Danio rerio: one gene and its partners. The protein of the gene in region 3 interacts with the protein of the main gene of each other region in a biochemical or structural test. Links are inferred from orthologs where the notes say so. Each region holds a gene or a part of one and is shown on either strand. Other genes may lie near its edges. The genes, in order: si:ch73-368j24.12, hdac6, prkcaa and hmga1b.

The links.
Region 1: of the proteins of prkcaa (region 3) and si:ch73-368j24.12, one has a biochemical effect on the other in vitro, tested with the Homo sapiens proteins (2 studies listed by BioGRID). The link is inferred for Danio rerio from reciprocal best matches to the Homo sapiens genes PRKCA and H1-5.
Region 2: the proteins of prkcaa (region 3) and hdac6 form a complex in vitro, tested with the Homo sapiens proteins (2 studies listed by BioGRID, with this or other methods). The link is inferred for Danio rerio from reciprocal best matches to the Homo sapiens genes PRKCA and HDAC6.
Region 4: of the proteins of prkcaa (region 3) and hmga1b, one has a biochemical effect on the other in vitro, tested with the Homo sapiens proteins (2 studies listed by BioGRID). The link is inferred for Danio rerio from reciprocal best matches to the Homo sapiens genes PRKCA and HMGA1.

The regions. Positions count from the first base shown.
Region 1 is NC_133182.1:6,159,861-6,167,013, forward strand, and holds si:ch73-368j24.12 (histone H1-like), read right to left. Parts: upstream 3,417-7,153; 5' UTR 3,375-3,416; coding exon 2,769-3,374; 3' UTR 2,678-2,768; downstream 1-2,677. Other genes in the region: histone H3, read right to left, coding at 1,658-2,068. UniProt on the Homo sapiens protein: Histone H1 protein binds to linker DNA between nucleosomes forming the macromolecular structure known as the chromatin fiber. Histones H1 are necessary for the condensation of nucleosome chains into higher-order structured fibers.
Region 2 is NC_133183.1:8,964,011-8,971,937, reverse strand, and holds part of hdac6 (protein deacetylase HDAC6), read left to right. Parts: intron 1-725; coding exon 726-811; intron 812-1,088; coding exon 1,089-1,173; intron 1,174-1,258; coding exon 1,259-1,299; intron 1,300-1,430; coding exon 1,431-1,527; intron 1,528-3,816; coding exon 3,817-3,914; intron 3,915-4,025; coding exon 4,026-4,130; intron 4,131-6,182; coding exon 6,183-6,251; intron 6,252-6,349; coding exon 6,350-6,476; intron 6,477-7,927.
Region 3 is NC_133181.1:19,671,786-19,680,284, forward strand, and holds the start of prkcaa (protein kinase C, alpha, a), read left to right. Parts: upstream 1-4,116; 5' UTR 4,117-4,275; coding exon 4,276-4,442; intron 4,443-5,251; coding exon 5,252-5,283; intron 5,284-8,499. UniProt on the Homo sapiens protein: Calcium-activated, phospholipid- and diacylglycerol (DAG)-dependent serine/threonine-protein kinase that is involved in positive and negative regulation of cell proliferation, apoptosis, differentiation, migration and adhesion, tumorigenesis, cardiac hypertrophy, angiogenesis, platelet function and inflammation, by directly phosphorylating targets such as RAF1, BCL2, CSPG4, TNNT2/CTNT, or activating signaling cascade involving MAPK1/3 (ERK1/2) and RAP1GAP.
Region 4 is NC_133181.1:56,825,543-56,834,119, reverse strand, and holds the start of hmga1b (high mobility group AT-hook 1b), read right to left. Parts: upstream 4,370-8,577; 5' UTR 4,215-4,369; intron 3,817-4,214; 5' UTR 3,808-3,816; coding exon 3,718-3,807; intron 3,284-3,717; coding exon 3,206-3,283; intron 1-3,205. UniProt on the Homo sapiens protein: HMG-I/Y bind preferentially to the minor groove of A+T rich regions in double-stranded DNA. It is suggested that these proteins could function in nucleosome phasing and in the 3'-end processing of mRNA transcripts.

The DNA of each region.
Region 1 (7,153 bases), on a different chromosome or scaffold from region 3:
TAATTTACAACCCTCAAATGTGGTATTTACCCTGTAAGTACAGGGAACAAGGGGGTAACAATGGAGGAACAATGCTTCACTTTAATTTACAACCCTCAAATGTGGTATTTACCCTGTAAGTACAGGGAACAAGGGGGTAACAATGGAGGAACAATGCTTCACTTTAATTTACAACCCTCAAATGTGGTATTTATCCTGTAAGTACATGGAACAAGGGGGGAACAAATATTGTATTCACCCTTTAACTACAGGGAACAAAGAGGGAAGAAGCTGAACTTTAACACACTAGTGTATACTTAAACACTAAGAACAGAGTAAACTACAGCAGCAGTATTTATTGATTGAAGACCAAATTACTAATTTTTTTTATAAAGCATCAGCTATACATTTACTGAAATGCAACAGTTATCCCCCTGTGCAACAGCAGTAAAGATGCGAGGCTGTTTTCATCTGCATTGAACCCTGACGGTAGGCCTATATCATGCAAAGTTATTTGTTGATAGTGAGTTATGGAGACATTGATGGCTTTGGTGAGATCGACGAGTAAACATAAGGTAAGTAGTGTATGGAAATATATTTTATATTGAATTGCAGATTTAAAAAACATACAGTATACAATAAGGGTTCATAATTTCACAGGTTGTAAACCTTTTATTCATTAAACACCCCATATAAAACCCAAGCACTGAATAAGAGTACTAATGTACTCACGCAGGTGCATATACAGTACATTTGCAGATAGCAATAGGTTGTCACCATCCTTGCATAATTCTTTATATGTATACAATACTTGAAGAAAAGTACATCGTAAACTTAATATACTTCTTTGCGTGATGAATATCTTATTGTTACTCCCCTATTACGCAAACATAATGGTTTGTTCTTTTGCAATTTAAAGAAAAGTACACCGTTATTTCACTGTACTTACGCGGTACTTTTCATGCTGAATATCTGGTTGTTACCCCCTTATTACCCAAGCATTACAGTTTGTTCCCTTATACCTACGTAAACGTTATTTATACTTAACACTATTGGTACAGAAAAGTACACCGTTATTTCACTGTACTTACGCGGTAATTTTCGTGATGAACATCTGGTTGTTACCCCCTTTTTACCCAAGCATTACGGTTTGTTCCCTTATACCTACACATACGTTCATTATACTTACTTAGTACGTACAGAAAAGTACACTTTAATTTCACTGTACTTACGCGGTACTTTGCGGGTTGTAAAAGAAAGCGTTACCCAAGTAATCATGTGTAATTCTTTTGTCTAACATTTTAAGATATTTTTATTTCATGCTTTTTATCCTTTTGTCATATGTAACTTTACTGTTTTTGTATGTTAATTTTTTATTTTAGGTTGCCTTTTAAAATCTGGCAGGGGCAACAGATGAAAATTAGCCCTTGTGGCTAACTCGGACTTATTTAGTGTTTTACTGTTGATTAATGGGCATTGTCCCTGTTAAACAAAATAAAGTCGAGCTGCTTACAAATCTAGCTCCTATTGGCATTAATAAAGTCAACTTAGCCACTGCCTTTACATATTTTTAGTACACAGTACCATTGAGATTAAACGCAAAGAAAAATCATCTTTTCTAGACACATTGAGGTGGCTCTTAAAAGAGCCTTTGGGTTTTAATGCGTCAGCAGTAGCTTTAAGCGCGCTCTCCGCGGATGCGGCGGGCCAGCTGGATGTCTTTGGGCATGATGGTGACCCTCTTGGCGTGAATGGCGCACAGGTTTGTGTCCTCAAACAGACCCACCAGATAAGCCTCGCTAGCCTCCTGCAGGGCCATGACAGCGGAGCTCTGAAAACGCAGATCAGTCTTGAAATCTTGAGCGATTTCTCTCACCAGACGCTGGAAGGGCAGTTTGCGGATCAGTAGTTCGGTGGACTTCTGATAACGGCGGATTTCTCTCAGAGCCACGGTTCCGGGCCTGTAGCGGTGAGGCTTCTTGACGCCGCCGGTAGCGGGAGCGCTCTTACGAGCAGCTTTAGTGGCGAGCTGCTTCCTCGGAGCCTTTCCTCCGGTAGATTTACGGGCGGTCTGCTTGGTTCTTGCCATTATAGATGTGATGCTAGACGGAGCTCTAGTAGACTGATGTACGCAGGCTGCATACTCAGCTTTTTAATAGGAGGGCAGTTGTTGTTGAGGCGTTTGATTGGCTGTTGCATTTATGTCGCAGTGTGACGTGAACATTCTGACCAATGGCAGAGCATTACTTTTTTTTTTTTTCCCAGCAGACGACTGACAGACAGTTGCTTTTCCCGCTCAAAAAAACTTATTCAGGATAAGTTATTGTTGCATACAATGGCGAAACTTGCACATTTATTTGTTTTTTAGATAACTTCTTTATCATGTTTTAATGTAGCTTTTGAAAATAAGCTAACAGCGATGTGATTTTCAGATCGAAGCGAATGCTTCAAGTGGGAACTTATGCCTAAAGTAAACTTTAAGCAAAACGTCCTACATTAGTTCTGAATTTATGCATCCATCAGTATAGTATTTTAGGCATTCAATTGTGAGTACAGATAAATTGGATGAAAAAAAACTTAAAAGTTTTCCTCACTTGGGAACGAAAGGGATTGCTTTCAAAATGAACTGTTTGCGTTTCCTGCCCTGGTCTATTTTTCTGGTGGCATATTTAGTTACCGTTTCAAGATTAGTAGTTTAAAAGTGTTTGAAAATAATGCTCTTCACTGTTATGTGAGTGGCTCTTAAAAGAGCCGTTTAGTTTATGGAAGAATCGAGCAGAAATAGTAGATTACTTCTTCTTGGGAGCCGCTTTTTTGGGCTTTGCCGCCTTGGGTTTGGCCGTTTTGGGCTTGACTGCTTTCACCTTCTTGGGGCTCTTGGCTGCTTTCTTTGCAGCTGCTGGTTTCTTTGCCTTCTTGGGGCTCTTGGTGGCCTTCTTGGCAGCCGCCGGCTTCTTAGCTTTCTTGGGGCTCTTTGTTGCCTTCTTCACAGATGTGGCCGCCGGCTTCTTCGCCTTCTTGGGAGATTTCTTAGCGGCGGGCTTCTTGGCTTTCGTGGCGGTTTTCTTGGCTGCTTTCTTGGGCTCAGCTTGTTTCTTATTGAGCTTGAATGAGCCGGAGGCGCCTGTGCCTTTGGTCTGGGCTAGAGTGCCGTTGGTCACCAATGCCTTGACTGCGGTTTTGACGCGGGAGTTGTTCTTCTCCACATCATATCCACCGGCGGAGAGAGCCTTCTTCAGGGCTGCGAGAGACACGCCGTTTCTCTCCTTGGACGCAGTCACAGTCTTGACGATGAGGTCGCGGACATTTGGGCCCGTTTTCTTGGGCTTGGACGCCGCTTTCTTCTTGGGAGCTTTTGCCGGCGTGGCAGCGGGAGCTGGAGCAGTTTCAGCCATTTCTCAGAGGAGTAACCTTCACCTACAACTAGCAGTGAAAAATGAAGCTCTGCTGGGCGGCGCTGTGAACTTAACTGTCACATGAGAACCGTGTAGACTCAATCGCCGCTCCTCAGACAATCGCCTCGACACAAAACTTGTGCTTTCTCCGTTTAAACAAAGACTAAAAAAAGTGCAATAAAATATTTTACAGCAGACTAGAAAGACCTTTTTGATATAAAGAGGGTCAAGCCTTTGTCATGGAATTCAAACAGGAGACGCCCTGTATTTTGTTTTAGATTTATGGAGTCATTTATCCTCAGTTCTTTCACTGAAGTTGTTTTACTATGCACAATAGGACCTGTGAAAATATAAAACAAGATATGCAGCAAGAATTGTTAATGTTTATATATATATATATATATATATATATATATATATATATATATATATATATATATATATATATATATTTATCTATTTATTTTTTAAAATAAGACCTTTTTATATTGTATATTTTATATTTTGTTTCTTTGTTTGTTTCTTTGTTTGAACTTTATTAATCCAAAAGAAAAAAAAAAATCATGTCACACCAGAGTTCATCACTCAATAAAATAAATAAAATATAAAAAATTCTAAATAATATATAAGACAATAATAACAATAAAAAAACATCCATACTGAACAGCTTAATTTCAAGCAATAAGAAATATCCACAGTATAAATGAAATTAAAATTCTACATTATTTATCAATTGCCTTGAAGCAAATGCATGTTTTAAAGTATTTTTAAGTATTTTAAAGATGTTTCAGTACTTTAAAATACTGCACCAGTGAGTAGCATATTAACCTACATAATGCAAAATCTGTAAATAACAAAGCAATCATCAGAAGTTTATTATAGTTGTGGCAGTATAACCCTAACAAAAACAAGATGCCTTGCTATAATGTCTTCTGTCCAAAGATGCTATTATTCTTGTGTCGTGAAAAACATTTAGACCATGCTTCTCGAACTCAATTCCTGGAGGGCCACAGCTCTTCACAGTTTTGCTCCAACCCTAATCAACCACAGCTAATCCAAAAGTTGTTCAAAAGAGTCTCAAACACATTGATTATTTGAATCAGCTGTGTTTGATTAAGGTTGGAGCAAAAGTGTGCAGAGCTGTGGCCCTCTAAAAATTGAGTTTGAGACCCATGTAGACCAGGGGTAAGGAACCTATGGCTTGGAAGCTACATGAGGCTCTTTGATCAAAAATATGTGGTTCTCCTGCTGTCTCTTTTCAATTAGTAATTCAACATTTTTAATTATGAGTTTGCAAGTACAATTACAGTTTTCTTTATATTGTATTTTCTACAGCAAAATTAATAAGAACTCAGTTTACAATAAAAGGACGTTTCAACCAATGCGCATACGTTGTGCTGTGGTTTCACTTGAATAGCGACAACAATAAAGGGTAAGTTATATTTCTTACATTTTCGATGGTAACCTCACGCACGTAAATTCAAACATTCGGGTGGCGATGGCAAAAAGAAAAAAAAATTTAAACACTGGGGTACCTCAAGGCTCTGTTCTTGGGCCACTTCTCTTCTCCATCTACACGTCATCTCTAGGACCAGTCATCCAGAAACATGGATTCTCCTACCAATGCTATGCTGATGATACCCAGCTATACCTCTCTTTTCATCCTGATGATCCCTCGGTTCCAGCTCGCATCTCAGCCTCCCTGTTGGATATTTCACACTGAATGAAAGATCATCATCTTCAGCTTAACCTTGCAAAAACGGAAATGCTTGTAGTTTCTGCCAACTCGACTCTACACCATAACTTTTCAATCCAGATGGATGGGGCAACCATTACTGCATCCAAAATGGTGAAAAGCCTTGGAGTAACGATTGATGACCAACTAAACTTCTCTGACCACATTTGTAGAACTGCTCGATCGTGCAGATATGCACTCTATAACAGCAGAAAGATCCAACCCTTCTTAACTGAACATGCAGCTCAACTCCTTGTTCAAGCTCTTCTTCTCTCCAAACTGGATTACTGCAACTCTCTACTAGCTGGGCTTCCAGCTAACTCTATCAAGCCTCTTCAACTGCTCCAGAACGCAGCAGCATGAGTGGTCTTCAATGAACCTAAAAGAGCCCATGTCACTCCGCTACTCATTCGTTTGCACTGGCTGCCAGTTGCTGCTCGCATCAAATTCAAAGCTCTGATGTTTGCCTACAAAGCGACTTCTGGCCTTGCTCCTTCTTATCTGCTCTCACTTCTGCAGATCTATGTGCCCTCCAGAAACTTGCATTCTGTAAATGAACGTCGCCTCGTGGTTCCATCCCAAAGAGGGAAGAAATCACTTTCGCGAACTCTCACGCTCAATCTGCCCAGTTGGTGGAATGAACTCCCTAACTGCATCAGAACAGCAGAGTCACTCGCTATTTTCAAGAAACGACTAAAAACTCAACTATTTAGTCTCCACTTCACTTCCTAATCTGCAATTGCCTCTCTGGATATCACACTAACTGTACCCAAAAAAAAAATAAAATAAATTACTAATACTTTCCTTCTTAGACTTTACAGACCTGAAACTTGCCTATAGCACTTATTCATTGTTGCTCTTATAGTTGTGTAAATTGGTTCCTTGTCCTCATTTGTAAGTCGCTTTGGATAAAAGTGTCTGCTAAATGTAAATGTAAATTGGCCTTACTTCATACATTGTGGTGCGTCATATTTGTTTATTTCTGAATTATGCATGGGCATAAATAAAGGTTTTGTGTATATATAAATATAAAGGTTTTGTTATAGACACACAGCCCATATGACTCTTTAAAAATGCATTTAAAATCTCAAATGGCTCTTGAAAAAAGGTTCCTCACCCCTGGTTTAGACAAGGAAGCACTGTCAATCTAGAGCAGGGGTGCCGAAACTCTATCCTGGAGGGCTAGTGTCCTGTAAAGTTTAGCTCCAACTTGCCTCAACGCACCTGCCAAGACTTTTCCAGCAAGCCTACTGAGAGCTCATTAGCTAGCCCAGGACCAAGTTTGGGCACCCCTGATTCAGAGTGCTTATGTGGTAAAAGTTTAACTTTTGCTTTCAAGGTGGATTTTACTGTAGCTTTTCATAAATAAACTCACAGGAAAGGCTACATTAACAATAAGCATAATCACAATAATAAATTAAATACATTATCATTTCAGAAAATACAAACGCTTGGTTCAATTCTAAATTCTATCTAACGATGGTGCCCAGAAAATAAGTCTATAAAATCTTTAAAATCTTATTATTTTTAATTATTAATTCTAGTCTAAATAATGTTTGTTTGACATTGAATATAGCCTGAATGGAGTTTGCTGTGTCCCTTAACTATCCCGTAACATCTCCAGGTTTGTAAATATAGAACCTAATTGCAGTATTTTGGGGCAAACAAAGTTGTTTATCAGAAAAGGCTTTATTAGATTTTCTATCCAACTAACATTACATGCTTTTTGATCATTTTGGGTCTTTGTGATGTGATAAACAGCGTTTGTAATGACACTAGGAGCCACTAGAGTGCGATAACCGGATATATTCCAGCTCACCAGAGTGCAAGAGACTTGTGTTTGGAAGAAGGACAGCATGGTGAACTAATGCTACCAATTCACTCTGGTTCGGATATTTTGAGAACAATATTGCTGCTGCTCAAATGTGAGTATTGATTAAGCGTTTATTAATTTATTTTCAATATTTAGTACTGATTTGGCCTGTTTATTTCTTGTAGACAGGACCTGTTATTCTGAATGTTTCTGTCAGTGGTGATTGTGTGA
Region 2 (7,927 bases), on a different chromosome or scaffold from region 3:
ACCCCCTGCTGGCCTCACTAACACCACTTCCGGCAGCAACCTAGTTTTCCCATGTGGTCTCCCATCCAGGTGCAGACCGGGCGCAGCCCTGCTTAGCTTCAGTGGGCGACCATGTGAGAGTTGCAGAGAGCTAGCTGCCTTTCTATCAGCTTGAACCAGTCTGGCCATTCTCCTCTGGCATTAACAAGGCATTTGCACCCACAGAATTGCCGCTCACTGGATATTTCCTCTTTTTCGGACCATTCTCTGTAAACCCTAGAGATGGTTGTGCGTGAAAATCCCAGTAGATCAGCAGTTTCTGAAATCAGACATGCTCGTCTGGCACCAACAACCATGCCACAGTCAAAGTAACTTCACCATTCTGATGCTCGGTTTGAACTGCAGCAAATCATCCTGACCATGTCTACATGCCTAAATGCATTGAGTTGCTGCCATGTGATTGGCTGATTAGAAAATTGCTTTAACAAGCAGTTGGACAGGTGTACCTAACATAGTGGCCGGTGAGTGTATGTGTACAGTATATATCTATCTCCAAGACTTTAAAAATGAATATTTAACTGAAGTAAAAAAAAAAATTATTTCATGAACTAATATATATATAAAATTATTTGTTTACTTCAGTTATGAGCATGCAGTATATATATTTTTTATCTGCGTGTAATCACATGCTCAGAGGTAGAGTTCTTTCAGAATGGTTGATAAATATTTTGGGATTGTTTTTCTAGGATGTTCAAGGAAAGAGCAAAGCGACAGGAACAGGTCTTGTATATGTAGACGCCTTCACTCGCTTTCACTGCCTCTGGGATGCCAGGTAAGGCCTTAGGATAATTATACCCATGACAATAATGTGCATAAAACTGAAAAACCTCTTGATAAAATGAACACATCTTATCTTATAAGATGCATTCAGAAATGTCCTTTGGTCCTATGCACTAATGCTGTATTTACCTTAAATGAGCATAAGTTTTAAGAACAATAACTATTTTTGTGATTGCATCAATGAAAGCTGCCTACATTCATAGAAGTTCTCTTAGTTATGGTTTATAGAAGTTATTATAATGGCTGATTTTGTCGTTTTGTTTTAACAGTCATCCAGAGTGTCCAGCGAGAGTGAGCACGGTAATGGAGATGCTGGAGACTGAGGGTCTGCTGGGACGCTGTGTACAAGTGGAGGTAGAAATACACATCTATTGATGTTATTTTGAACGTATATTACCTGTATTCCTCTTGCATTGAATAGTTTGTTAATGCATTTTAGGCTAGAGCTGTGACAGAAGATGAGCTGCTACTCGTGCACACGTAAGTTTGTGTCATGGTTTAAGATTATAAGACTGACACTGATTATTGTGTAGGAATTGTTTTAGGATTATCTCATGTCGCATGGGTGTGTATGTGTGCGTGTGCGTGTGTGTGTGTGTTTGGTATGACAGGAAAGAGTATGTAGAACTGATGAAATCCACACAGAACATGACAGAGGAAGAACTGAAGACTCTTGCTGAGAAATATGACTCGGTTTACCTGCATCCTGTAAGTCCTCTTCAGTCTTCAATTTTAGTTGAAGTCAGAATTATTAGCCCTCCTGTTGAATTTGAATTCTTTCTAAACATAATAGTTTTAATAACTCATTTCTAATAACTGATTTCATTTGTCTTTGTCATGATGACAGCGCATAAAATTTGACTAGATATTTTTCAAGATACTAGTATTCAGCTTAAAGTGACATTTGAAGGCTTAACTAAGTTAATTACGCAAGTTAGGGTAATCACGCAAATCATTGTATAACGATGGTTTGTTTTGTAGACAATCAAAAAAATATATAGCTTAAAGGGGCTATTAATATTGACCTTAAAATGGCTTTAAAGATTTTTTAAAACTGCTTTAATTCAAGCCGAAATAAAACCAATAAGACTTTCTGCCGGAAGAAAAAAAATGATCGGAAATACTGCGATAAATTCCCTGCTCTGTTAAACATCATTTGGGAAATGTTTAAAAAAAGAAATTCACAGGAGCTCTGATAATTTTGACTTGAACATATAGTCAGTAACTCTGTTCTAAATCAGAACCAGACATTCCTAGTTAAGTCACCATAAAGTTAATATAGAGCTTGAGAAATGCTCCTAAACATGAATCAGTAACTGCTATATTGGCCCCTTGTTTTGACAACAGTGACATTTTAACATGTTTACATAATAGGATAAAAATAATCCATCCTGCCAAAGGGTAGTACATATATGGTTTCAAGCAAAGTGCAAATTACAGGGGGGTTTGGGTGGTGGGGGGGGGCTGACCCCCGTAATTAACTCCCAAAGGACATCAGCTCTTTAATAGTGAGAAATAGTTTTCTCTGATTTATATCTTAAATAATAATGTAAATAATATAAATAATATATTTAAATATACATTTTACCACCCCTATAACGGTTCATACCATTGTGAATGCATAATCAGTCTATGCGAGAAATCCATCTGTGCGAGAAAAATATTAATTTGATGGCCTGAAACTGGCATGTACACCACAGATGGACATTGTAAGTGTTAAAAAGACATTTTTTCTAGTAAAATAGCTGTTTTGTATAGATTTAGCTTAAAAGTAAAGTCAAATTAGACACATAGGGCTCTATTTTGATGATCCAGGCGCAAAGTCGAAAGCGCAGGGCGCAAAAGCATTAAGGGCGTGTCTGAATCCACTTTTACTATTTTAAAAATCTGCTCTGTGCCGTGGCGCATGGTCTAACAGGGTTGAGCTTATTCTCTTAATGAGTTATAGGTGTGTTTTGAGAATAAACCAATCAGAGTCTTATCTCCCAGTCCTTTTAAGAGTCAGTTGCGTCGCGCCATAATCGCATATGCTATTTACATGTTGAACTTAGTAAGTGGAATAACTGAACGCTTTACTAAAGAGAAAACAGTTAAACAGAGCATCTGCAGCAAGAGAATGAGAGATGAGCCTACTCATTGTTTACTTTCACTTTCACTCTCTTTTGTGGATAAGGAAACGTGTTGTGTGCACAGACATCCATTAGCCTACATAATTAATTTTGTTTTTTAAGTGCAAAGATTTGTTTCAAAACTATTTCTAAATTCAGTTCTCATTTCCAGCAAACGAATAAATGAACAATAATAACGAAGTGTGGTCAAACAACTGAGTTATGTCCAAACACACATGCTGTGCCCCATATAGTCTAAAACCTGACAGGTTTATCTAAGCTTGTTTTTAATAGAGCAAAATAAATATGCAGATAATAAATAATACTGCTAATAATGATAACATTATTCAGAAGCAAACAGTCATGAGTAAACTGAAAAAGCCTCCTGAGATGAAGAAGGCATGAAGGAGTGGATTTTATATTTATGTAGGCTAGAAAATACTAATTTTTGTAATATTTTATTCCTGTAATTATTTTTCATTTGTAAAGACATTTGTGAATTGCTGTACATCCTGTGTGTATAAAGAAATGTTTAAGCGAGGCGTTCAGCTGACAACAATAGCCTTGCGCTGCATTGCGCCGTGTGTATGATAGGGCTCATAGTTTTCATAGTTTAACCCAAAGTAACCTGTGAAATAGCTAATCAGACATTACTGTAAATCAGAATGCACTAAATATCCCTTAAAACACTTAAAAAATGAAAGATGTTTTATTAATAATTTAGATGTAATTTAAACAAATACAATAATTTAATTAATTAAGCATGTGTTACGCAAATGAACATTAGCAAATATGTTGACACCCCCCCATTCGTCAAGGTGTAATTTGCATCCTGCTTTTAAGTAACATGATGACCATTTTAAATGAAACAAATTCAATTCCACACCAGGGGTTTTTCAGCTCCGCCTGTCTGTCAGTGGGATCAGTTCTCCAGCTGGTGGATAAGGTGATGACATCACAGCTGCGTAATGGCTTCTCCATCAACAGGTGTCACTGCATCTCTTCTTCTCAACAAATCAGATATATCTTTTTTATTATTATTTTTTTATTTTTATTTTTATTTACATGGAGTTGATATTGTCTTTTGTAAACACACAGGCCTCCAGGTCACCATGCTCAGGCAGATAAGATGAACGGCTTCTGTATGTTTAATAATCTGGCCATAGCAGCACGATATGCTCAGAAACGACACAGGGTTCAACGGTGAGTCTGCTTTCTTTCTTTACCATGATATGCTTAGATACACATGAAAGATATTATGAATAGCTACATTTTGCTGGTCTTACTGTGAGCGAGCATATAATATATCTTTGTCGATAGTAAGAGTCAAAATCGTTTTTCATATGTAGTGACTTGTAAAGTGATTTTTTATTTCATTAATATTTATTTAGCAGAGGGGTTCTAAACCTTTTTCACTGCAAGGCCCACCTTTTTCTCCAAATAATATAGAGAAAATACTTATTTTAAAGCATTAGCAAAACATTTATTTTGCCTTCTATTATTCTCTTATTTTTCTACATCATTAAAAAAAATGAAACATTGTGCATGTGTGTGTGTGTATATATATATATATATATATATATATATATATATATATATATGTATATTTATATATATATATATATATATATATATATATATATATATATATATATATATATATATATATATATATATGTATGTATGTATGTATGTATGTGTATATATATATATATATATATATATATATGTATATATATATATATGTGTGTATATATATATATATATATATATATATATATATATATATATATATATATATATATATATATATATATATATATATATATATATGATATTTGTTTTGTCTATCAAATTTTTCAGTTTGAGTAAAAAAAGTAATTTAGTTTTTGGTAATTTAGTATTTTTATTTAGTTTTGTTGTTGTTATTATGTAGGAAAGTGTCTGGCGCATATAGAGAGGAATATCATAATACTTTGATATGCATAATACCTTGATATAAGGTTGCATAGCTGGTGGAAAATATTAGGCAACCCAGAGGAAACAAATGAACCAAATTCCAGTTTAGGTTTAACAATAATTCAATCAAATATTCTGCAAATACGTAACAATACTCAAACCGAATGGGTTGCAAATACATCAGTGTTGGGGAAAGTGACTTTTGAAAGTAATGTAATACAATATTAGGTTTCTCCCCCAAAAAAGTACTCACTTTTTATTGTAAGTTATGCTTTACATTACTTTTAAATTACTTTTGCGTTGCTTTTCTTTATCTTTGCTTAGGCTTGATCTCTTTCAGAACTTGCAGGTTTTTTTCTTCTATTTTAATATAGAGGAGCTCTGCAAATAAGGACGCACCTTTAAAAATAAGCATAAAAATAATGAAGTAAAATGTTATCTTCTTAGAACTTTTTGACCACAGAGCTCCACATGTCATATCTACAGATTAATGAAAGTTTAAAGCTATGTGTCTGCTACTTTTGTACTTTTTTTCTTATGAGTGAAATCACTGTCCATTAAGACAATCAATCCCCTTTTCCTTTTTTTTCCCGTCAGTTCAATGTAATGAATGCATTCTCTCTGCGTGATTCAATGTGACTGTTAACTTTAATTTTGCAATTAATTTTTAAAGAGTTGATTAATTAAAGTAAAAAATAACTCGCATTACTTTAAAAAAAAAAAAGTAACAAATATCGTTACACAATTTGTTACAAAAAGTGGTGGCATGGTGGCTCAGTGGTTAGCACGGTGGGTTAACAGCAAAAGTTTGCTGGTTTAAGTCCCGGATGGGCCAGTTGCCATTTCTGTGTGGAGTTTGCATGCTAGTTATCAGTTAATGCTCCAGTTTCCCCCACAGTCCAAACACATGTGCTATAATTGAATTGGGTAAACAAAATTGGCCGTAGTGTATGAGTGTGTGTGTGTGTGTGTGTGTGTGTGTGTGTGTGTGTGAGAGAGTGTGTGTGTGAGAGAGAGTGTATGGGTGTTTCCCAGTACTGCGTTGCGCCTAAAAGGGCATCCGCTGTGTAAAACATATGCTGGAATAGTTGGTGGTTCATTTCGCTGTGGTGACCCCTGATAAATAAGAGACTAAGCCGAAGGAAAATTAACGAATAAATGAATGTTTTTTTTTTTTACTTTACTCGTTATCTAGAAAAGTAATATAATGTAACTCGCTTTACTTGTAATGCCTTACCCCCAACACTGGTCTTAAATACAGTTTGTGGTTTGAGAATTTGTTGTTTCCCACTGCAGAGTTTTAATTGTGGACTGGGATGTGCATCACGGACAGGGAATCCAGTATATTTTTGAAGAGGATCCCAGGTATATTTATCAGTCACCAACATTTAAGATTACAAATATTCTGTATTAATATTTGGTATTTTAAAATGGTCTCATCTGCCGTGTTCTTGTTTTGGCAGTGTGCTGTATTTCTCAGTGCACAGATATGAAGACGGCTCATTCTGGCCCCATCTAAAGGAGTCTGACAGCAGTTCGGTTGGCTCAGGAGCAGGACAAGGCTATAATATCAACCTGCCCTGGAACAAGGTATGCTCAGCAGGGGATGAATTTTAGGAATTTAAAAGGTCTATTGCAGGCACTGAAAGTCAGGGTGGGGGCCTGGGGGTTTGTTCAATGTAGGACTGCAAAATATATCGTTTCAGCATTGATATTGCAATGTCCACATCCGCAATAGTCACATCGCATGATATGCAGTGCTGAGTTATGAATATAGTTGACCAGGAGAAACCGCTCAGAACACATGAGTTTTATTTTTATTTATTTATTTATTAATTAATTAATTTATTTAACAGGGACAATGCACAAAGATTACATTAACCTCAAAGAGGAAAGATGCGTTGTGCCAGGTTGTAGCAGGATTGCTAATTTCCACCTGCAGTCCCTGGACAGGTTAAAATTAAAACAATAAAATCCAATTAATTAAAAAGTTAGTTTAAAAAATTAAAGCATAATCGCATATAAACTAAAACACTGACAACTCAAAAGCATCTCACTCAGTGTGTACAAATTTGATTTGACAAAAACCACCTCCTAGTCAGGCGTGAAAACATCTTATAACTTGTACATGTGATTATTTCTGTTGGGAGGGAAGTCCATAGATTTGAATATTTATAAATAAAGAAGGATTGACCAAAAGAGGTCTTTCGTTTAGGGACAAAACATTCCCCTCTTACCATAGAACGTGTCACTCGTGATGTTTTCTCTGATTTGGAATTTACAAATTTTTTAACGATGGAGCAGAAAAATTTTAAATAATTTTAAAAACAAAACAAGTATTGGTATATTTAATAATATTATCAAAACTTAAGAGACTATGTTTTTTTAAGATATTGCAGTGATGGTACAACCGAGACTTTTTATCATGAATTTTAAGTCCTCTTAACCATAATGGAGTGAAGGTTTATCAATTGCACATGTTTTTGAGGCTTGTCAGAGTTCAAAAAATTCAGGCACAAGAGATGCTACCATTTGTAACTTTGATAAAGAATAATTTTATTGAATTAATTATATTTTGTAATGCTATTTTACATTTGAATATTCATATCCTGTACTTAAACACTATTTGACTGGCCGGAAAACCATAAAACACTGTTTATTACACTTTGCTCTATTGTATTGTATTGTACATCTTTGCTCTATTGTATTTATCTATGCTTGTAGTTTGTGTATTACATTTTGTGCAAACCTGCCTTCAGATATATGCCAGTCAATCTAATAAACAAAATTCTTTCCAAATAGCAGTTTTTAAGTCATGTAGTGAAATTCTGTAAATATATCAGAATGTTTATTGCAGAAAAATGAAATTTCACAATGTCAGATTTTTCCAATATCATGCAGTCCTAGTTCAAAGCATGAAATATTAGTGGATTTTGTTAGTCAAAAAATGTTCGATACCATATTTAGGCATGGACCGTAGTTCGGAGCGAAATATTTCTGCCACGATCCCAGCGTAGTGATGAAATTATTTTAGTTTTAAG
Region 3 (8,499 bases):
CAAACTTTTTTTTTAACCGTAGTAGTGCTGTGCATAATTTGTTTAACCCTTAAGGTTATGTGCTGACTGTCTGACTGACAGGTGCATGATGCGTGAGGCCAGCAAACACGACGTATAGCTGTTTCACTTTACTTCACGACACATTAATATCGCTATGTAGGTCTATTAGAGACATTCATAAATATGCCTAGAAAATTTAATAAATGCTAGAGACATAAACGCACTAAATCGCACTTCAGCAGCGTTTATTTGAGCGCACAAGAAGATCTGCATGCTCTTGAAGTGGCTCATATTTGAGGGGGTGTGCAAGAAGAAGGGGATGTGCACGAGCAGAAGAAATCGGCATGCAAGCAAAGAGATCCCCATGCTGTAGGCTATTACATAAATGCGATCTTGACTTCTAATACTGCACTTACAACATTTGTCATTGAAATAACGCCACAGGTTGTTGATAGATTTGTGTAAAAGGCCTGCCGCCACAGCTGGAAAAAATCCTAGAAGAAACACTGTAATTTTTTTTTTATTATTATTTTTATTTATTCATGTATATTTATGCAGTAATTAACATAAATTTGCCCAATTGAAAACAATGGAATTTTTGGAATTTTTATTTTTAATTAAGTTTAAATTAGTGCTGTATTTCCGAGTAGGGTCTGTCTGCGGACTGCAAGAAAGGGGCATAACATGAAGGGGGCATAACTTGTAGAAGAGGCAGAATTTAAAGTCATGGAGACCCACATGTCATTCTATGTTGTCGGCATGATGGCAATGTACCTATCAGTTATTAACATCTACACCTACTCCACACCTAAACCTAACCATCACAGTGATTAACGCCTATACCTACCACAACCCTAAACCCAACCGTATACTTCATACTTGTTGTGCTCAAAGTCGTAACCGAGTTGCTAAATGAATGAATATAATAATATATCAAATTAATTGGGTGTGGATAAATTTGGAGAAAACTCATGAAAACATTTGGTGAAAATGATCTCTTGTAAGTATTTCCACCATCTTGCCAACAAAATCTCGTTGTGACATCTCACATGGTTCAATGGGATCTCCATTACTGCAAATTACGTCTCTCTAACTTACTACAAGTTACGCACCTTCATGTTACGCCCATCTTGCAGTCCACAGACAGATAAACTTGGTATTTCCAGGTAAAGTAAAGACTGCCATTTGAAAACAAATTCAAAAAGAAGATTAGCACCCTCTGGTTATGCAATGACATGGTGCAAACACTAGGTTCTAGTATTACTATCTCTACAATGCTGCTTGAGAATTCCTTTCTAGAGAAGCTAAAATACTTCTTTCTGACAAGGTTTTGATATTTGTTGTTTGACAAAGTGATTTGAAGTGTAAAGTTTTTTTTTATTTTGATTACGTAAAAACTACATATGGCTATAAAGAGACTACACAAAAGGCTTAACATTTTGTATGATGCAGTGTGTTTGTTTTTCCCACTTAGCATCTTTTTTCAGAATCATGGTGATTTAGTATTTTTGCAAACAAAATATTTTATAAATGTTCATATTTGACATATTTGGTTATTTTCTCTTTCTCACCTGGGGCTCTATTTTGATGATCTGTGCGCAAAATGCAAAGTGCAGGTCGCAAACGCATTTAGGGTGTGTCAGAATCCACTTTTGCTAATATAAGGATGGAAAAATCCGCTTTGCATCGTAATGCATGATCTAATATTGAAACCTTTTATGCACAGACGTCAATTAGCCTGTAAATAATAATTTTGTTTAAGTGCAGAGATTTGTTTCAAAACTATTTCTAAATTCAGTTCTAATTTCCAGCAAACAAATAAATGAACAATAATAATGAAGTGTGCTCAAAAACCTGAGTTATATCCTAATACAAATGCTGTGCCCCATATGGTCTAAAACATGACAGGTGGCCAAATCTAAGCTTATTTTTAATGAAACAAATATAAATATGTATATAATAATTAATACTGCTAATGATAACATTATACAAAAGCAAATTATTATGAAATAACTGAAAAAGCTTCTAGAGATGAAGAAGGCATGAAAGTAGGGTTTTTATATTTTTGTAGGCTAGAAAATAATATGTTTTGTAATATTTTACAATTTACTTTGTTCTGGTCTATTGAAAAATCTATTATAGTTTCTCAAAATAGCACCACGCCAGCAATGCTCCTCAGAATGCCTTCCTTTTTAGAGCAGAACGCCTATGGGCGCACATATGAGCGCAAATGCATTTGCTATTTAAACAGCGTGGCGCAAAACCTCAAAACGACTCCTGCACCATGCTGAAACTGGCAAACAACAATTGCGTCACGCCTTTCCCCACATTTCGCTAGGTGTATAATAGGGCCCTCTGTGTGTGTATGTTTGTGTGCGTGTATGCGCATTTGTACACTGAGTGTGTGCAGATCAAAGCTAAATTATTAACTTAAATGATTAGATTTCCTAACACTGTAGAGCTTTTCTTTTAGTAATTACACCTGCTATGCCATCTCCAAATCTAACCTCTCTCTTTCTTTCCTTCTATACTCCTCAAGTAGTTCTGGGTTGCTGTACAATTTTTCCAACCTGGCTTTTGCTAAAGATTAAATTTTTTTCATTGCTGACTGTTTAAAATGAAACAAATCAAAGCAAAATATAAACAGTTAGTACATTTTAAAATTAACATTAAATTCAAAAGAGTAATTTGAATTTAGTATGCAATTTTACTTAAATTCTCATTCCTGAAACACATGTTCTCTCTACCGCAACTGTCCCTAAATGGTTGCGGTATATGAGAAAAGAGTTGCGGAGAATGAGGTGCCTCAATATGTTTTGCAAATAATAGGGAAGCTATGATGATTTAAAAAAAAAATTCTCAGTGCATATAATTAAGTCTTTAAAAAAGTTTGTTTTCATAAAGATTTGCAAATCTAACAATTATGTTAATGTAGAAAACTTCCTGTTTCGGTAATGATAATCAAAAAGTCTTGTAACCATTTTGACAGGAGAAAATTTTACATTAAACTGGAGAAATATAAAAGATTTTCTTTCCTGGCAGTCATCTTAAAACAACTGGCCCATGTGCTTCTATATACAAAATTAAACTTTATTTAAACTCTTTATGTGTGTTTAAACAGCACTTTAAAATGGTTGCAGAGGATGAGAACATCTGTCACGGACACCTAATTTATCATTTTTTTCTAAATGTTATTATACATGAATATTCTGTAAACTATTTGTTTCATCATGTCAGATAACCTATTAAAACAATTCATTTGTTTTTATTCAAAAAAAATTATGCTAATTTGTTTAAATTACAACATAACACACGTTCAAAAATGCATGGACACGTTTCGGTAATGAGAATTTTAGTAGAAAATGCAGTAAAATGATTAGAAATAAGTAAATTATGTTGAAATTACACATTGTGCTTCGTAGAGAACAGCGTTGTCTTTATTATAATGTTTTTTTGTTAACAAATTACTAAGTTTTATATTTAAAATCTTAAGTGCCACGTTGTTTTACTGGTTTCGTGAGAATAACCCATATATATATATATATATATATATATATATATATTTCACACAAGTAGCAGTGCGATGTGGATATACAGTATATCGACATTGGTGGGAGGTGTGCATTGCACTACTACATAAGACAGTTCGACTTAGAATGTCACTTACTGAATTTTTGCCTCTGGCTTATTATTAAATACATATATATTTATTCTGGTTCTTAAATCTGATTGGCTGACCAGAACTCGTACGGTCTCAGTAAAACATCAAGTATTTTTCAAGTGTTTTTGTTCTTGTTTTTTTTAACGCCAGTCTTTCGCGAGTAAGAAAATAAACACTTCACCAAGGACACCAAATCATGCTTCCAAAATTTAACGCTCAGCAAAACTTGTAGATTAAAGAAAAAGAAAACATCCAAACCTGTCTCAAAAGTCACTGGTGATAATCTCGTGGATTCTTCACAGTAACTTGCAAACAGGTTTGTTGACCGCCGGATGACGCTCATTGCACGGTGCTCATGATCCAGTGGCGAGCGTTATTATCCACTCCCAGCAGAAGGACACTTCGGTGACGTCACCTCGAGCGAGAAGGAAGCGGAGCGCTCGCTGGAAGCTGTCACACACAGTAGTTGTGGCGAAAGCAGGAGAAACCTTTTCCGCACGCGCGCGCCCAACTGTTGCGCTACACGGACAACTACGGCAGAAAAAACAACGTTATAATTATCTGACAGCAACTTCCTCACACTCTACGGGGAATTATTCGCTCGTGTTTCTGCAATGGCTGATACACAAAGCAACGAGCAATCCTCGTCTGACGTTGCAAATCGATTTGCCCGTAAAGGTGCTTTGAGGCAGAAAAACGTCCATGAAGTGAAAAACCATAAATTCACCGCGAGGTTTTTCAAGCAGCCGACTTTCTGCAGTCATTGCACTGACTTCATTTGGTGAGTAGATCATTTCACACATGATTAACGTTAGTGCAGTAGCAGTGTAAGTTTAAAGATACTGTAGATCTTGCTACTGGCCTGTTAACCAGACGTACACATAAAAACATACACTACTAGTTCAAGCATTTAAGAAACGCAATGCTTACAGTTAAGCTGTTTTGATAATACACATACATAAACACGTTTAGTTTATTTCACTGTCATAAAGAACTCTGCTTCACACCTGTCACACGCTTTGATTTTCTTTCATAATGTCTTTTTTTTTCGTTGGACAAAGCTAATGTTAAAGTTTTTAAGTTTAAAGTTTTAAAATGTTCCAGTAATCGTCATTCTTCAGCGTTTACTGGTGTTGCCATGATTTGGGCGTGATCAGTTTGTCCAGGCTCACAGTGGGGCATTCAGCTGCTCAGTCAAGACACTGCCATACTTGTTGATAGTTTAAGAATGTAGTAACTTGTAAAAGTTCAAATATAAGTGCTCAGATATGAGTCAATAAATGTATAGACAAATTCGTGGAAACAGCTTATAAATTGCAATATTACAGCAGTTTATTTATTAACATGCAGACGTGTCCCCTTTAATGATTCAATTTATGACTCCCTGTAAAAGTGATTGAAAAAAAAATCCCCTTTTATTGCTTCCTACATGTGTGTCGTGACAAATCAAACATTAGATATTGTAGCTGTCAGTGTACATTTTAATTAAGGGATTGCTTGTTCAGTGGAAGGCAACTGATAGCTAAAAGCCCATTAAAGGATTTAGAGAGGCAGACCTCTAATGCATTGTTTCTCTCTTCTCTTCATCAGGGGGTTTGGAAAGCAAGGATTTCAGTGCCAAGGTAAGCAACTATTGAGGGATGGGCATGTTCCGCTAATTCTCTGAATAGTCACTCTTGAACCCATATATACATATGAAGAAGTTGCTTTATGTCTCGTTTCAAATTAAGACATTATCTACAACCAAATTTCTTTCCACACACCATTAGCTGAGTTTAATGCAACAGAACAAGCAAATGTTCAGAATGAAAGAGAGTTGCTGTATCTGATTATTGAACTCAGCAGAGATGGAGTGAGCTGTAGTGTGTCACATAAACATTGCTTGGCTGGCCTTGAGCTAAATAACTTTGACTTAAAGAAAGAAACCCAATAGCTTTGGTATCTCAGTGAAAAGTCTCTCACATAAAGGGATGGTTCTTGAAGAAAACCATCTCTGGAAACGGCTTCAATGAACTACACATTTTTAAAAAAGCTAGTTAATTTAAATTTAACGTTACTTTTTTGATTGAAATGTGTAGTTTTCCCCCCAGATTTCACAATGACTACAAGCACATAATTGATCCTGTTATCAGAATTAATTTTGCTGTCTGTAAAACTAAATACACAACAATAATACATGCATTTACACAGCTATTACAGTGAATTACAGCAGGTTTTTGTATATTCATTTGTCCTTGAGTAACTCTGTGAAAGTGTGCTTTACACAATGCATAATTAAATTTTTAAAGAATTTACACATTGGTCTTGACATCTGTCTCTAGCATACTATTTTAAGTCCAGTTGTAGTGATTTTAATGTGTGCATACTGAGCCATGTTTTTCAATTGGAACTAAGTACTAAGAGTCATGTTCAGTAATACAATCACAAGTAGCCACTGATCAGTCAAGTTACCAAAGGTGCAAACAGTATTAATTTAAAATGTATGATATAAAAAAGGAACCTGTGGTGGACAAAGCTTTACAGATGGTTAGCCACATTTTCATCTTTGCAAACTGAATTTGAGCATGGATTAAAACATTTAATACTGGTATACCAAAGTAAATACAAAATTATTGACTACTTAAAATAAAAAATATAAGTATTAAACATTCACATGCTGTTTTTCCACAATATAAGGAAAATGGTAATACACAAAAAATACATAATGTTAAACAAATACAAAAGCTTTATTGTAAAACACAACATGATGTAATAATGTAAGGGCGTCACGTTGACACAGTGGGTAGCATTATAGCCTCACAGCAAGAAGCTCACTGGTTGGAGCCCCAACTGTGTCAGATGGCATTTCTGTGTGGAGTTTGCATGCTCTCCCCGTGTTCACGTAGATTTGCTCTGGGTGCTCCGGTTTCCCCCACAGTCCAAAGACATGCGCTATAGGTGAATTGAATAAGCTAAATTGGTCATAGTGTATGTGCGTGAATGCAAGAGTGTATGGGTGTTTCCCAGTCTTGGTTTGCGGCTGGAAAGGCATTCGCTGCATAAAAGATATGCTGGATAAGTTGGTGCATTCCACTGGGACGATCCCTGATTAATAAAGGGAATAAGCCAAAATGAAAATGAATGAATGAATGAAATAATGTAAAAAAAAATAATTTACACTATAAGATAAAACTAAATCCTGATGTACAAACCAATTAGAAAGAAAGAAATGACCGCCTTTAAGGAAAAGCCATCAAACACAAGCTGACCCACAGTTTTAATATTCAATAATTGATCACTGTAGCATATTTATTGTGATATTGTACTTTTCACTGTGCATTTCTGCTAAAAATAAGATGTTGTCGAACACAAGGAAATCAATGCAATTTTTGAAAAGTAATTATTTAGAAACGGAATATTATTACGTAACTCCAGTTACCTGTAATGCATTACCCCCAACACTGGTAAGATGTTCCGGGGACATTTGCATCTGTATATGTAGCTATTTTGTTCATTAGTTGGACCAACAAAAGCTCAAATGGAAACAAGGCCTCAGTATGTCCAGCCTAACACCGTGTACTGCTATGTGATGCAGCAAGATAGCCTGAGTGACTATATACCGCTGCTTTCAGTAGACTGGCAATAATTGTCACATATATTATTATTTAAACTCACATTGGTAACATTTAACTCTGAATATAGCACACAATCTGTACCTGAGGGGATATTTGTCATAGTAGTATTAGGACAAAAAGTTGTTTTGTCATGGAAAAAAATACCCTTCATTGTGTGTTGCGGCATCGCAATGCATGTAGTTAGGACAGGGTGTTATTGGGTGTTCATTTGACTAGTAAAATTTTGATCAGCCCAACACATTTCCACAATTGTTTTATTCTGATGTGGTAGGACTGTTAAAGCAAAGGTTTACTATAGTTTCTTTGCTCCTCGTTTCTTTGAATTCTATTGTACCTTAAGAATGCAAGGACAAATAATGAGTAGGTTTCAAAGGAGCTATTAGCAAAGTACATGCATTTTCCATGTGGAAGCTAAGTTGTTTTGGATAAAAAAAACACTAAACAAATTTTTGAATAACAGCCAGTGTTTTAAACTCTCTCCTTACCTTAGCCCAATTCACAATGGTAAGCGGTTTTCTAATTTGACAGGTAGGATTTTTGCAGGAAATATGAGCTTGCCATTGTTTGTCTTTGCGTCATTGTCTCTTCATAAATACAGAAGGATTTCCAGCTACTAGGCTATTTTGCAGTTGGTCAGAACAAAATGTCACTCATAATTTTAGATGAGATTTTGTGAAAATTCTAGTTTGGCCGAACTTTTAAGAAATAAGAGCTTTGATTTCATAGTATAATATTCACATTGTTGTGGACTTAAACAATGCAAATTTTTCTTTCACATTGTTGACTTAAACCCACACATATTTCTTAAAACGTTCAAGGATTCATTCAGTCCTTCCAATGCACAACCTATGTGAATATGATAATTCTGAAAATAAAGGCAAGTGCATGTTTCAAACAGAGATAGCGACGAATAGACAAAACTTAAGGACTGAAGTTTGTTAAGGTCTAGATCAGATATACGGCAGATCGGAAGTGCGATTTTGCACATTAAATTAGCAGTATATTTTCACGTTATTGTGATGGTTGGGTTTAGACTTGGGGTGGGGGTAGGCATTAAAAAATAAAATTTATTGGGTTATTTAATATATAGCATAAATATAACTGGGTACAACTACTGTTTTTACATTACTGTGACGGTTGAGGTTTGGGTAGATGTTAATTAAACACAATAAATCCGATTTTTATAAATAATTTATTATTTTATAAATAATATAAATTATTCTC
Region 4 (8,577 bases), about 37 Mb from region 3:
TTGGCACAATTCTTGTTGGTTTATTGACTAAGACTAATAAACATTGTCACTTGCACTTGGATCCTCTCTGACCCTTATTTGAATGTAACTACCTGACCCAATGATAGCAATTTTGGGTTGGTCAGAATTCCTGGAGACTCTCAACCGAAATGTACGGTTACCTGCTCCGTATAGCAAGAGCATAACTAAGAAAATTATCATTTGTTTCTGGAAGAAGGCTTCTCTTTTCTGACCGACTTCTTGGACTCACCTCAACTTTACATTTGGAAAGATTTAGACATGCCACCTCTGGGAACTCTACAAAATTTGATAAAATTAGGGATTTTTTTTTTATTCTAACATAACAAAAAGACTAATAATGCTGTTTGATTTCTGAAGATTTGTAAGTAGTCATTACGTCCAGCCTTTTTGTAGGTCATATATGTCACCATTTTCATGCTTTATTTGACATTTTTGCAGAGATTATTGTTACATGATGGATTTGTCTGTCTGTCTGTTAATAACTAATAGAAAAAAACTAATTAAAAAAATGTCATTAAGTTGCATGCAGTAGAGTGGAGGAACCTTGATGTCAATTTGTATGCAAAAACCTAGAACCGAGTTAGCATTTAGGCAGTTCCGGTTCTCTTGTCCCAAAGTCAATAGGGTATATGCCGAGCTAGTGTTTTTCCCATTTTGATAAACTTCCGGTGACCTTTTAAAGTGATTTTTATTTTTATTTTAATCAGTTCATTTTACTGCATCAATGTTGTAATGTGATTAAAATACATTCAGTTAAATAGACTTTGTCATTCCTTTAGTTGCTCAAGCGTAAAACGAGACATAAAACTGTTGCACGCACCTATCAGAATCGGCAGGTTACCGCAGAAGCTCAATTGAATATACTAGGGTAAAATAAATGCACAAAAGGCATGGTGGGGAAATTAATGCGGTGCTTCTTGTACAATCTGAGACCCACTTTATATTGGATATCACTCAGCCAGTGGAGATCGCTGATTTTTAAAGAAAACAGACCTTAATTGCACCGGTTTTGCAATAGCATTCAGTTCACCGGAAGCGGTTAACCCAGGTTACTGGCAAATTAAAAGTCCTATTAGTATGCTTCGGCATGTACCCTATTGGCTTTTACATAATACACACCAGTAACATCACACTCTTGATTTTTTTAAATCGGTTACGCTTCTTTAAAAAGACGGTTGCTATCAAGTTGCGATATGGGACTACAGGCTGTGTCAATGACATTATACGTCATCGAGCTGAACTGGTCTGGAGCACAGCTCGCTTGTGTTAGGCATTTGGATTTGTCTGTTATTTAAGTATTTTCATGAATAGTATTTAATAGTTTGTAGTGTTTTTCTAAATGGGAATTCATATTGTGTGTAGATAATGCCTTCACTTTTAAAGGCAGTCGAGACAGATTAATTTGTTGATTATTTATTTAATTAAACGATATTATGAAGATACTGCTCACGAGTGCAGCCTGTCTCTTTCCTGCTCTCAGTAATACAAACGTTTGAATAAATGTGTAAAAATACACACATATTAACTGTCATTTTATAGTAATCAGGTGATTTTTCATTAATTTCTTTCTTTATCTAAACACATTTAACTCTGCCATAACTGCAATATTTACACTCCTCCTTAAAAGGTAAAGCATATGTGACTGTATGGGCTGCTTTTCGCTGTACTTCGTGACATAAAAAGAATCTTGAAAGTTGTTCTCTATCAATGAAGGAACTTGCAGGCATTTGATAGACTTGTTCCTCACGCCTCATTTCTGTCACCTGTTAAAGTAAGCAGGCTTAATACACTTATTTAAATATGTCTTATGATATGTAGGCACATTTATACATAGTTTTAAAACTTTTACAACAGCCGTAAAGCAAAAAAAAAATGTATTTCCCACGTAAAACGATCAAAAAGGCACGTAGCTCCCTACTGAAAAAAAAACAGATTAAACCAGCCTAGGCTGGTTGGCTGGTTTTAGCTGGTCAACCAGGCTGGTTTAAGAGGGGTTTTGGCCATTTCCAGGCTGATTTCCAGCCTGGTCTTAGCTGGTCAGGCTGGGAAATGACCAGCTAAAACCAGCTTGACCAGCATAGCCAGGCTGGGAGCCCAGCCAAAACCAGCTATGTCCTGCTTAAACCAGGCTAGTCAAGCTGGTTTTAGCTGGATTTAGCTGGTCAGTTTCCAACCTGACCAGCTAAGACCAGGCTGGAAATGGCTGGAAACCAGCCTGGAAATGGCCAAAACCCCTCTAAAACCAGCCTGGTCGACCAGCTAAAACCAGCCAACCAGCCTAGGCTGGTTTAAGCTGGATTTTTCTGCAGGGAGGTCCATGTGTTTTTGTGAATTTATTTGTTTATAATATATAGTGTGGATTATAATATAATAAAAATCTTTGTCATGGACCATATTTCTAAAAATAAGCTTGAAATGTCTGTAGCAGGGTGGTGCTGATGTCACAGGTGAGCGCCCTGAGGGCACTGTAGTACATTTTTAGCCTAATGTTAGCTTTTCAGTTCTTGCGTTTGCATTTAAGATCCAAAAGTGCTAAAAGTTGTATTTTAGTGTGAGGATTACCCGGCTGGAAAAAATGTGTGAGTGTAATGAACTGTGTTTGAACACAGAGCTTATTATTTGCAATCTTCCTATGGGAAAATCCTATAGAGATTTTTTCTAGGGAACCAGTTTTATGCTAGCAGCCGATTAGCCTACAAGGTGACGTCATAGTTCCTCCTCTCTATTGACCCTCTCAGGCTAAACCATTGGATATAATGGGTGATTTTTGTCCCCCTCCCCACAGCATTTTCACAGACCAATAGCAAAGCAAGGCAAGTGCACCAGCAGAGGGAGCCTCTTTCTGCACATAACAGCAGATGGAGGGGGCATTGGGTTCATGGAGGACTCTTGAGGCGGGAGCTGACAGTGCTTTGCTCAGGGCTAAGTGGCTAACAGCGGGTCACCTGCATTTAGCCAGGGGATGAGCTGTCAACGAAAAAAAACCTGCATACACTATACAGAATTAATAATGCATATGTCTCTGTGTGTTTGCAAACCTGAGACAGCTGTGTTGTACTACCAGGCAATAGTGAGAAAAAAAAACAGCAAGTCTATATTTATATCCACACTCACGGCTATGCCATGATCACACAAAGAGGCTCATTAATCATAATGCGAGTTAATTAAAAGCAAGACTGCTCACTCTCTTGGATGGGCCTTTGTTTTTGCTGCCTTTTGGTCGTCCTCTTGGTTTTTTCGCACTTGGTGACCCACTGGATTCCTGAAAGAAAACATGTTTATTAAAGGGACAGTTCACCCAAAAAGGAAAATGCTGTCTTCATTTACTCTCCTTTCCCTTATATGAGTTTCTTTCTTCAGTTGAACACAAAGAAATGTGTTTTAAGGGAAGCTTGAAACCTGTAACCATTGACTTCCATTGTTTTTTTTTTCTATGGAAGTCAATGGTTACTGGTTTCCGGCTTTCTTTAAAATGTTGTCATTTGTGTTTAACAAAAGAAAGAAACTCATATAGCTTTTAAAAGGAAGTAAATAGTGAATAAATATAATTTTTTGGGGTGAACTATCCTTTTAGGATGTTCCCTCTGTATGTTATACTAAACTGAGGGTGCGTATTTTTATGCATTAAACTGATTGCATTATGTTTGCTCATTGATCAATATATCTGTTAACAGATAATGCAATTGTTTTATGTACCTTAGGATGCTTCCTTGGTCTTCCTCGTCCTCTTTTCTCTACTCCATCCTTGTCCTTAAGGGAGACGGTTTGTTTTTCTGAATCACTCATGATTGCAGTCTGTTCAAAACACGTGGAATCAATTAAATATAATATGCAATATTTAATATTTGTGCTGACTTGCAACTCAAGCATACATTTAATAGCTCATGATTATAAACACATCCCTAAAACCACAAATGCAATGCTAATAAGTGAAGTTTAATTCACTTTAAAACAGTGAAAGACATCAAAATAATGCATAATCAAGTTTCAAAGTTGTACAATTGGCAAATTCACGCCGGTAACCCATCTGAATCACTCTGATGTTGATCATGCAGGCGAGGCGCTCAATAGGTTATGCAACGACAAATCTGTATGGAAGCCATACAGCGTGAGCTCCGCTTTAAAGGCGGACGTGCAAACGAGCATTACAGCCCTCGTGCATTCATTTAACACAGGACGAAACATTGACTTACATGCACTTAAGAGGAATAATAATGTCGTGGTGCGCGCGCTGCTCTGTTCGGCGGCTCCACCTCCCGCACGATGTTAAATTATAGCGCAACCGACCGTCTACCCTTAAAGCACCGTCTTAATTCCGAGGCAAATCGACGTCCGCGGGTGCCAAAAGGAGCGAAATTAACTCTGTCAGCTCCGATCCTGTCGAGGGATACACGCGATAGATGCGATTACGGCGAGTTCAGGAATAGCAGGCTGTCTGAGGAATAAAAGGCCAATGGAAAAGCAGGATGAGCCGCAGGTTGATGGGAAGAGAGGCGGATCTCACGGGGCCATATGCTGCTGCATACTCTATACTGGCGCTGATAAATTAGCGGCGCCAAGTACAAAACAACTTTAGGGATCATGGGATATTTAAACCCTTGAATAGAATAGAATAGAATAGAATAGAATAGAATAGAATAGAATAGAATAGAATAGAATAGACAAATGGATTCACAATCAATCTATCATTTAAAATAACAAAAACAAATCAACAATCAAATGATAGATAGATAGATAGATAGATAGATAGATAGATAGATAGATAGATAGATAGATAGATAGATAGATAGATAGATAGATAGATAAAATTAATAGAAATAGACTAATATAATATATTCATTCATTCATTTTCTTTTCGGTTTAGTCCTTTTATTAATCTGGGGTCGCCACAGCGGAATGAACCGCCAACTTATCCAGCACATGTTTTAAGCAGCGGATGCCCTTCCAAATATAATATAAAATGATATAATATAATATAATATAATATAATATAATATAATATAATATAATATAATATAATATAATATAATATGATAATATAGGGCGAGGCAGTGGCGCAGTAGGTAGTGCTGTCGGTTCATTCCGCTGTGGCGACCCCGGATAAATAAAGGGACTAAGCCGACAAGAAAATGAATAAATAAATGTTATAATATAAAATTAAATACAATAAAATAAAATAATATAATATAATATAATATAATATAATATAATATAATATAATAAAATATAATATAATATAATATAATATAATAAAATATAATATAATATAATATAATATGATATAATAAAATATAATATAATATAATATAATATAATATAATATAATATAATATAATATAATATAATATAATATAATATTAGGGCGAAGCAGTGGCACAGTAGGTATTACTAGGTAGTGCTGTCGCCTCACAGCAAGAAGGTCGCTGGTTCGAGCCTCGGCTCAGTTGGCATTTCTGTGTGAAGTTTGCATGTGCTCCCTGCGTTCGGGTGGGTTTCCTCCGCGTGCTCTGGTTTCCCCCACAGTCCAAAAACATGCGGTACAGGTGAATTGGGTAGGCTAAATTGTCCGTAGTGTATGAGTGTGTGTGTGAATGTGTGTGTGGATGTTTCCCAGAGATGGTTGCAGCTGGAAGGGCATCCCATGTGGTAAAACTTGCTGGATAAGTTGGTGGTTCATTCCGCTGTGGCGACCCCGGATTAATAAAGGAACTAAGCCGACAGGAAAATGAATGAATAATATAACATTAATGCTGAGCAAAGAGTAATCTTTATTAAATACATTAAACTAAAAGTGTGTTTCGACATAATATATGTGTATTATTTTTATTTGGTATGAACGTATATGTGATACACATAAAAAAATAAATATTCAACAAAAATGATATATAGTGTATTACATCCATATATATATATATATATATATCTTAAAATTACTTTTTTCCCTTAAACATATGCATGCATGTGTGCACTTTTATATACACACAGCACACACAAATATATTATGCCAAAACAAACTTTTATTTTGGATGCAATTAATCATGAATATTCTTTGCCCAACACTTGATATAATATAATGTAATATAATATATTCATTTATTCATTTTCTTTTCGGCTAAGTCCCTTTAATAATCTGGGGGTCGTCACAGCGGAATGAACCGCCAACTTATCCAGCATATGTTTTACGCAGCGCATACCCTTCCAACTGCAAACCATCACTGGAAAACATCCATACAGACTCATTCAAACATATACTCCACGGACAATTTAGCCTACCCAATTCAGCTATACCACATGTTTTTGGAGGAAACCGGAGCACCCAGAGGAAACCTACACCAACATAAGGAGAACATGCAAACTCCTCACAGAAAGACCAACTAACCCAGCCAAGGCTCAAACCAGTGACCTTTTTACTGAGAGGTGAACGTGCTACCCACTGCACCGCTGTGCAGCTATAATTAATATAATATAATATAATATAATATAATATAATATAATATAATATAATATAATATAATATAATATAATATAATATAATATAATATAATATAATACATGTACTTAAACAAAAAGAAAAAGACCGGATAGATCACATGCTATATGGGCTATTTAAAAAATAAATGTATAAAATGTTGGTCACTCTATTTTAAGGTACAATTCCTACTATTAACGTTATTAAAGTAAAGTAATTAACTGCTTATTAATATAGGTAGTAGTTGGGTTTACGATTAAGGATATACAATAACATCATACTTTGCAAGTAGCCTACTAATAAACAGCCAATACTTTAATAATAAGCAAGTAATAAGACAGTAATTAATAATGGTAATTGATATTCAAACTAATGTGACAGCCAGACAGACAGACGGACGGACGGACGGACGGACGGACGGACAGACAGACAGACAGACAGACAGACAGACAGACAGACAGACAGACAGACAGACAGACAGACAGACAGACAGACAGACAGACAGACAGACAGACAGATAGATAGATAGATAGATAGATAGATAGATAGATAGATAGATAGATAGATAGATAGATAGATAGATAGATGCAAGAAAGGACAGAAATAGGCTATATTTTAACAATTTAATAACATGTAACTATAAACAAATATGCTATATTGTAATGATATGATAAAGAATACATTATTTTAACAATTTATTATATTTTAAAGACTTTTAGCTCAATAAAGTATTAATTTGCTGCTTAATTTTAAAGTAGACCTAGCTGGGTTTTTGATTAGGGATGTAGAATAAGATCATACTTATAAGAAGCCTATTAATAGGCCTACTACTAAACTGCCAATAATATTAATCAGGTAATAAGACAATAATTAAAAATGAGACTTTATATTTAAATTAGACAGATATAATACGAATATAATACGGAGAAATAATATTAAAAAACAAGCTCCTCTCGTTTCAGTTAGGTGGCGCGGTAATGTGACGTTGGCAAACTACGTCATTGCGCTTGGTGACAGCAGACTGGAATATTCAAAACAATGAGCTTTACGTGATCTGTATGTAAGCGTTTCACTTTGTCCTTTATTTCAATGTTTTCTGTCTTGAAACTTGATCGAACCGATGAGTTGAAATGCGCGACAGTCGTGTTTTCTTGCGTGTTGAATGGCTGTGAATGGATTCTGTCTTGTTTACATTGCAAGCCACTCTAGAACATTCTGCCTTAACACTGCGAGTCAGTAACGTTTTGAAAAGGGAAAACTGCTGTATTTATTTATATATTGAAATTCAGAGATCTATAAAACAGTGTTTAGTTGTGAGTATAAGGTTGGCTAAAGGTATGGGGCTAGTCTGCTAACTAACTGGGATTACAGCTTTAACCAACTGGGATTACAGTTTTAACCAGCAAAGTCTGTGTGTTTGGAGACTGTTGCCACTGCCTGTGTCATAATTACGTATACAATATGTATGTATATATCTAAAATATATGAAAGCATTTAGACATGTATTTGATTAAATATATACATTTATTACATTGATGTGTAATATAATAATAATATAGGCTTATACAATTTTATTTTACTTCAAATAATTGTACTGCATTGATAGATTGCAAATTGTAAAGATTTAAAATAATGAGGTTTTGGTGTACTATTTCTCAAGTAGATTACTTTAATATGTCATTAAATATTCTTGTCTTAATTATGATTATTTGGTGTTTAAATTATTGCTATGTTTAGTGGCATTTTAGTAGGTGAAATTATGGTAAAAGAGGCTATGATATGATTGTGTATTATTAAAATTCACAAATGATTTTGTTAGAATTTAGTTCAAATTAAATAGTACATGATTAAAAAATCTATAATAAAAAGTAAATTATTATTGTTTCATCATGTTGCTATTTCCTTAACTCTTATTTGCTGTTGGGGGTGTTTTCATCCAATCCGGGGTGATTTTGAGTCTTAATTTGGCCAAAACGTTTTCTGTGTATCAGCTAGCAAAAAGATTTGTGGTGACTAATCTTGTTTTAACACATGCAAAAATGCATCAGATACAGTTTTTTGGAAAAACTTTTTTTCCAAACTAGTTT